Linked DNA regions of Arabidopsis thaliana. The protein of the gene in region 1 interacts with the protein of each later gene in a pairwise test. Each region holds a gene or a part of one and is shown on either strand. Other genes may lie near its edges.

Region 1 (4,418 bases):
CAACCACCGAGTGAGTATTAACATCAGCCTCGTTAAGTTTAGTGGCAACTCCAAAGTCAGCAAGCTTCACAAGACCCTGAAGTGTGATGTAGTCAAGTATCTTTCTAAGGAAAAAGCCTAGAAGAATCTTATCCAGCAGATCTCAAAACAAAAACACACTGAAGACATGTCTGAGAATAGATAATATAGAAAACACACCTCCTTTGTCGTCAAAATATTTGCACCCTTAATATCACGGTGTATAACACCCTGCTCATGCAGATATACCAAACCTTCCAAGACCTGTATTCACTAGTTAGTACACAATGCATAACGAAACTTAACTCAACTTGAAAGATGTATACAGACCTGAGCAATGTAAACAGCCACCAAAGATTCTGGGAAAGGTCCAAATTTATTTGGTTTAATAATGTTTGCAAGAGAGCCATTCTCAACGTACCTGCAAACACATAATTGAACTTGAGTTTCCCGTCCATAGTCCAGAGTGGACCAAAATAAACAAAAAAAGCTACTTACTCCAAAATAATGTGAAGGTGAGTCTTTGTCTTCGACGACCCAAGATACTTCACAATGTTTTTATGGTTCAAGTTCTGCAATGAAATATTATCTCAGAATACATAGAGAAGAACTGCATCTTAACCAGCATCATAACCATTCATGAGAAGAAGCCAAAATTCAGAAGGTGATTGATTTGACATAAACTTAGTATCAGGATCCCAACTCTGTAAACAGTACAAAATTCAGAAAACTACCTTCAAAAGATCAATTTCTTGCTGGAGAAATTCATCCCAACAGCACAAGAATCATCCACATGTAAAAACCAGGATTAGTCAGCATAGCAGTGGTAAGGAACAAATAAGGAAGATAGATATAAGGAAAATAACAAACCATAATGGTGTTAAGATCCTCTTGAACAATATTTTCCAAAGAGACTTGTTTAATGGCCACAAAGTCACCATTCTCCAAGTCTAATCCTTTATAAACTCGACCATAAGCTCCTTTACCAATTTCATCTCCCAGCATCTACCCTCAACATATCAAGGATCAACCATTGAAATTAATCAAAATTGAAGAGAAAACAGCAAAAAGCACCAGACTTAAGCTTAAAATCAATAAAATTACTAAAGCTAAAATCTTAAGGAGACCCATTAGAAAACCCAAATCCCAGAAATTACGGAGAAGAAGAAAGCTCACATATTTGTTGTCGAGAGTCTTTGATTTGTGAAACTGAGATGACGTCATTTGCCGCGCCATCTCTTCTCGTTTCTTCTTCCTCCGTCAGCAGAACAAAAAAAATGCAGCGAACAGAACACAATTGCTCCTCAAGGAAACAGAATCCAATAAGAATTAGGGTTTTAATTTTTTGAGAAAATTGAAAGAAAAGATTTCGAGATTGGTGGAGTTGAAAGATCAGAGATGCCAGCTCTATTACAGTAGTGAAAATACATGACCAAATTTTAATAAAATCAAAATTAAGAAAAAGGAAAGAACAAAACAAAAGTTTTGGGTTAGAAATTGACTAACTGTAATAAAGGAGAGGTAATTATGTTAATTTCTCATGCGCCTGTATTCTTCTTTATTATGTGGCCCATACTTTTTATTTATTTACGATTTCACCCCTTTATTTCCCGATTTGTAAAAATACTAGCATTTTGTCCAATTACTGATTAATCATCTATTTAAAAGGTGGTCCAAATATTTAATGCTTTTTCACTGGTGTCAATTTTAATTAAGGTGGTTAGTATTCATTAATGTATTATCAACCATTTTGTTATAACTTTCTCAATTGTAGGAGCTGGTATAATCGGATGTTTATAGCCAATCAAATTATAATTCATAGTAGTATCAAATCTTTAATATAAATAACTAGAAGCAACTAACCTATGCATTGTAATAACATTAGCCATTTGGATTTCAATATGATTGTTACTGCAAAATCTTTAAAATGAAAGGAAAAAAAAACCACGCAGGTGAAATAAAAACCAAATGAAGATTATTACCAAACGCCGAAGCTAGCGCGTGAGAGAAAAGGTCGGTAGGTTCATTGGTAACATCAGCAGACTAATGGAGAGAGAGAAACTTTGAGAAAAGAAAAAAACAACCAATCGAAGAACTCATAGAGATCACGAAACCCTAGTGGAAAGAGAGAAAGCTTTGTTGAAGACGGCGGAGATGATGTCATGTGGTGGGAAGAAGCCAGTGTCTAAGAAAACAACGCCGTGTTGCACGAAGATGGGGATGAAGAGAGGACCATGGACGGTGGAGGAAGACGAGATTCTTGTGAGCTTCATTAAGAAAGAAGGTGAAGGACGGTGGCGATCGCTTCCTAAGAGAGCTGGTTTACTCAGATGTGGAAAGAGCTGTCGTCTACGGTGGATGAACTATCTCCGACCCTCGGTTAAACGTGGAGGAATTACGTCGGACGAGGAAGATCTCATCCTCCGTCTTCACCGCCTCCTCGGCAACAGGTATATATATAGATATTAAAAAAAAATCTCGTCAAGTATTCAACTATACAAGATCGTTTAGTTTATATGCATACGTATGTGTGTGTCTCTCTCTACCCATACACTAGAGTTATTTTTTTGTTTAAGCTAGCTAGGGTTTTATTTCTTCCACATAAACATGAAGGTTCTGATTTTAGCTTGATCCCATTTTTTCTTATAGCTATATAAAACAATTATACTTTGATTCTTGATTCGATATTTATATAGAACAAAAGGTTAATCCCTTCTCTAGTTTCTTTAGAGTATAATTTTAATTAAGTTGATTCTGGTTCTAGAGCAAATTAATAGTTCTAGAGATCATTCATTCTTTTTTCAAATTGTTTATGATTACTAGGATAAAAATGCAAGCTTGTTTTGTAACCATATTAGTAATTAACCGCTCTTGTTCTTCATGGAAATTCTAATGTGTGATGCAGGTGGTCATTGATCGCGGGAAGGATACCGGGAAGGACTGATAATGAAATTAAGAACTATTGGAACACTCATCTTCGTAAGAAACTTTTAAGGCAAGGAATTGATCCTCAAACCCACAAGCCTCTTGATGCAAACAACATCCATAAACCAGAAGAAGAAGTTTCCGGTGGACAAAAGTACCCTCTAGAGCCTATTTCTAGTTCTCATACTGATGATACCACTGTTAATGGCGGGGATGGAGATAGCAAGAACAGTATCAATGTCTTTGGTGGTGAACACGGCTACGAAGACTTTGGTTTCTGCTACGACGACAAGTTCTCATCGTTTCTTAATTCGCTCATCAACGATGTTGGTGATCCTTTTGGTAATATTATCCCAATATCTCAACCTTTGCAGATGGATGATTGTAAGGATGGGATTGTTGGAGCGTCGTCTTCTAGCTTAGGACATGACTAGATACAGGAAGATATATAGTTGATCGAATCTTGATGTCTTCTATATCTACCATGCTTCAAGAAGGGGTCACAGATGCGATCTAGAAGGTTGGCATATATGTGTACTAAGTTGTTTTGTGGTGATTTGTGTGATTATTATAAAACCATAAATTGTGAGTGTAACTGAGTACACAAACCTCTATTTATATATATGGATATATCTATTGCGAATAAATGAATCATCACTATCGTTAAATAAGACTCGTGGTAAGCTTTTGTCAAATACAGATAACTAATAAGCATGTTCACAATCTTAAATTATGGTACTAGATATGTTTCTAAGTTTAATTTCTTCAAGAAGTTTATTTAATGTAAACAATACAGGCTAGCTAAGTGCTAACGTTAAACTTCATATCCTTGAAAACAAAAATACACTAAACTTTATAAGCTATTAAACATATTCCGGACAGTTTACATACTAAAGTACGATAATAACATATATGTTGTTTGAAAAAAAAAACATATATGTTGCCTATAGGTTTATTATGTGTTTGCGTCACCACACGAGTTGAGGTTATAAAACTCTATTTTCATGTAATACTAAATTAAAACTCAAAAATGTTTGTTTTAAGTATTTCAGACACAATTCATGAGTTGTATATATAAGTTGAAACTTATAGGTTCTTTTTATCGATGAGGATATACTATAAGTTCGAAAATCAAAGTTTGTTGCGTAGTTCACATTTACGTATCTTATAGTAAGACCAATGTTGGTCGAAGATATAGTTTTTTACCTATGCATGCAGATTTATTGTTTAACACAGTTTTATGTATATATATGCTTACTTCATCACAGTCTCTCGTCCGTGCGTTCTCCCTCTAGAATTCGTTACTTAAAACCAAAAAGAACACCATGCCGTTTTCACATTGACTCTTCACACGTTCCCACATTTACGCCATATAAACTACCCTTAGTTAAAGCCTAGGAAAATTGAATTATAGACCAACATTAGCGGTTAGAATAATTGACGTTTAATTTACATAAGTTTTTACTTTTTACTTA
Region 2 (3,875 bases), on another chromosome or scaffold:
ACATTTACTTCGTGTACATGAGTATAGTTTGGATATTATTAGCCGTGCATTTAGTCAAAATAGGTTTGTAACCAATATCATCTCCAAGCAACAAGACGGTACTGCCATCATTTTGAGGATCCTGAACAAAAAACATCCATTCGACCAAGGATCTCCAGATCTGCTGATTGCAAACATTCATAAAAAAAAAATATTGTTGAAAAATTATCAAGAATGAAATACTAAGTAAATTGAAGTACAATCGAAAACTTACTTGTGTTACTTAGATTTTCATCAAATAAATCGATTCCAAAGTCTTTATCTTCTGAGTCTAATTTAGACGACATGACTCGAATGCTCCAATTGCGGTTATCTTATTACCTAGAATGAAATATGCTAACTCTACTTCACTAGCGAGGAATGACTTGATAAAAGGCGCATCATTGATATTAGGTATTACATTCTCTAAATCACACCACATCTTTTACTGGAGTTACCATTTTCGACAAGACAATTTGATTTCCGCCAGCTTAAATCTAGAGTTTTAATATACTATTAATGAAAAAAAAATCTTCTTACCATTAGTTCTTAAATCAAAATCTAAGATTTCTATTAAACCGGCCCGATGATCTTATCAAGATAACCAAACCTAAACCTAAAATTTCTATTAAACCGGTCCGGTGATTTTATCAATATAACCAAACTTTAATCTAAGATTTCCATTAAATCGATCCGATCTGATCCGATCCTATCGAGATAACCAAACTTTCATCCTAAATATAACTTAATTTATTGGAAATTACCAAAATGCACTGAAATAAATGGAAGAATGCAACACAATTCGCGATATTATTGGAAAAGTAGAAAACATACAGAAATTTTGTTGCACACAACGTAGATCATCATCATCCGTTGTATCTTATAAGTTTAACACCCTTAAAATAAATAATCAAAATTCACCTTACTCACGAACGTAATATAATTGGTTAGAAGTACATTAATCGTATGTCAACGTACATATACCAATACCATCACCACAGGTCCACAAGTCTCCCCATGTGCGATGCATGCATGAGATTTACCTACTTACTCGTCCGCTTGTTAAACTAACTCAAAATTCAAATCCCATTTTCATTGAGTTCATAAATCCATTTATATATTGGTTGCTTAAGTCAATGAACAATGAATCAAGGAATTAAACAGATTGAATGCTTGAAAGTTAGACAAACAAAAAAAAAAATCAGAAAATATATATCGTAAATGTCACTAACACAATTGGTCAATTGGCCCATTGTCCACTGCATGCCCTTTTTTAAAGTTAACTATCGAATAAAACTAGTCGATTTTAATTAGATTCATATTAATTGCTAACCAAACTTCACACATATACACAAATGTGGACCGTATAATAAGAATTGGAGTTCCCCATATGTATTTTTTTTCATTGACGAAAACCTTTGCTTACGGAGCAATTAAAATCAACACGGATTCGTTATTAATACCATGACATAACGATAATTATAATTTTGTTTTCCAAATTCACCGGGATCATTCGTTTAATAGATGAATAAAAAACTAGCTAGGGTCAACGTTCACGCAAGTGTAATACGGCTTAAATGCTGTGGAAGAGTCTTGATATTTCAGCTTTCACGATAGCTTTTTAAGCTTCTCCGGCGGCGTTGTCACCGGCCGTCAACTTCTTCATCATCATATACTATTAAGATTTGATTATTTAATTTGTGATAATAGAGTTGACGATTACGTGTGTGTAATCCCTCTTAGGATTTTCTCTAGGTCTATATAAACCTAGAACACGAAGAGTGCTTGAAACAAAAGGCAGATCATTGTAATTCTATCTAGCTTTGTACTCAAACAAACATTGATCATTTATTAACCGAACAATGAGTTCGTCTAACGGAGGTGTACCGCCTGGTTTTCGGTTTCATCCAACGGACGAAGAACTTCTTCATTACTACTTGAAGAAGAAGATTTCTTATGAAAAGTTTGAGATGGAAGTCATCAAAGAGGTTGATTTGAACAAGATTGAGCCGTGGGATTTACAAGGTACGTTCTTTTATTAATAATACATATACGATCCAATCCTCTAGTTATATTAGATACTATACAAAAGCATTTTTTTTTTGTTTTTGTAGATAGATGCAAAATAGGATCAACGCCACAAAATGAGTGGTATTTCTTCAGCCACAAGGATAGGAAATATCCGACAGGGTCAAGGACAAACCGTGCAACCCACTCCGGTTTTTGGAAGGCGACAGGACGTGACAAATGCATAAGAAATTCTTACAAGAAGATCGGCATGAGGAAGACTCTTGTATTCTACAAAGGAAGAGCTCCTCATGGCCAAAAGACAGATTGGATCATGCACGAGTACCGTATCGAAGACACTGAAGATGACCCTTGTGTATGGATATATATCTCTTATTCATTAGAAAATTTGTGAAAGTCGGTCGATTTTTAATTGAATAAACCAATCTATACATAATGCAGGAAGATGGATGGGTTGTTTGTAGAGTGTTCAAGAAGAAAAATCTGTTCAAAGTAGGGAATGATGTTGGCTCAAACATCAGCAATAATAGGCTTGAAGCTCGTAGTTTCATCCGAAGAGAAAGCCCTTACCAAGGAATCTCAATGTTTGAGCTTAACAAGCCTGAAGAGATTAGTGTTCATCAATATCCTCAACCACCAATGTTTCAACCTCATCACAAGCCTCTTTCAATAGGCTATGACTATTCATTGGCTCTTCTACCAAGAGAAAGCGAGTACCAACAAGCGTGTCAGCCATCAGGGGTTGAGGTTGGCACGTGCAAGGCAGTAAGTGAATGGGGAATAGTGAATTGTAACATGGTGAGTCATGAGGACTCGTCTAGAGCGATGAGGTTTGAAGATGACGGTAACAACACTTCTTCCACGGTCCAGCCACCTTCTAATCTGCTTTCATTGCGCGGTGAAAATGGATTTCTTGGGTTGTTTTAAACAGATGCTGATAATGTTATATGTATGGATCTCTTCGTATGTAAGTTCTTTGATTACATGTATCCATTTATTTCATTCTGTAATTGGAAGCGAATTGCTTCACTGATAAGTTAATAAGAATTTCTTTGATCCATTCGTCTCCCTTCCTCTTCAAGGTATCGAAATAAATGATAGGTTAAGATATTTAATGTAGGCTTAAAAGCCCATAGGCCCAAAGGCCCATAAAGTTTTAATAACACGGTGGTGGTTTTGGGGAGCCTTCCTTATCCGCTCGGTGGGGGCTGTGAAACTATGGCCGGAGTTTGCGTCCCATGGGGCGGCGGAGCTTGTCGTCTTATTTCCCCAATTCGCCGGCGTTTTCCGGTTTCCTCCTCCGTCGCTTCTCTTGCTCTTCCAGACTCCTCCTCTATGATCGTCGACGACAATCTCGGCGCATTTCTCGAGGTCTAATTTACTTTTAATCACCTCTCTATTCGTCTTTGTTCTCTTCTCACACTTTCGTCTTTATAGATTCTTCCAAAAGATCTTCGTCACCGTCTCTTGAACGATTCAAGAAGAAACCAGCTCGTAGAGGTTATTGTTACTCTTGTGAAAACAATTTCAAAGGCTAAAAATTGAAATGAGAAAGTTTAATGGTGATGAATTTTGAAACCTTGATTAGGTCATAATGGATTTAGGAAGACCACCTGAAGCACGTTATCTCGGAGAACCTGGAGGTCAATATCTTAGGAACAACGAGGTAAAACCAATTATTACGTTTGTGTCTTTACTCTGTTGTGTGTTTGTGTGTTTAAATATGGATTCTTGTATCCATGAAAACACTAGCTTAGGTATCTATGGAAGAGTTAGAGGATGCTCAAGAGCTTGTAGGTGAGTTTGGAGCTGATAATAGAGCTGGAATA

What was found.
Region 2: the proteins of MYB5 (region 1) and NAC015 interact in a two-hybrid assay, tested with the Arabidopsis thaliana proteins (one large-scale study listed by BioGRID).

The regions. Positions count from the first base shown.
Region 1 is NC_003074.8:4,418,067-4,422,484, forward strand, and holds MYB5 (myb domain protein 5), read left to right. Parts: upstream 1-1,893; 5' UTR 1,894-2,172; coding exon 2,173-2,468; exon of another isoform or gene 2,469-2,923; coding exon 2,924-3,377; 3' UTR 3,378-3,685; downstream 3,686-4,418. Other genes in the region: MAPKKK7 (mitogen-activated protein kinase kinase kinase 7), read right to left, coding at 1-76, 199-282, 349-439, 517-590, 753-773, 889-1,023, 1,195-1,254. UniProt on the Arabidopsis thaliana protein: Transcription activator, when associated with BHLH002/EGL3/MYC146, BHLH012/MYC1 or BHLH042/TT8.
Region 2 is NC_003070.9:12,070,861-12,074,735, forward strand, and holds NAC015 (NAC domain containing protein 15), read left to right. Parts: upstream 1-1,750; 5' UTR 1,751-1,880; coding exon 1,881-2,043; intron 2,044-2,132; coding exon 2,133-2,401; intron 2,402-2,487; coding exon 2,488-2,973; 3' UTR 2,974-3,105; downstream 3,106-3,875. Other genes in the region: AT1G33290 (P-loop containing nucleoside triphosphate hydrolases superfamily protein), read left to right, coding at 3,265-3,417, 3,484-3,546, 3,635-3,712, 3,804-3,875.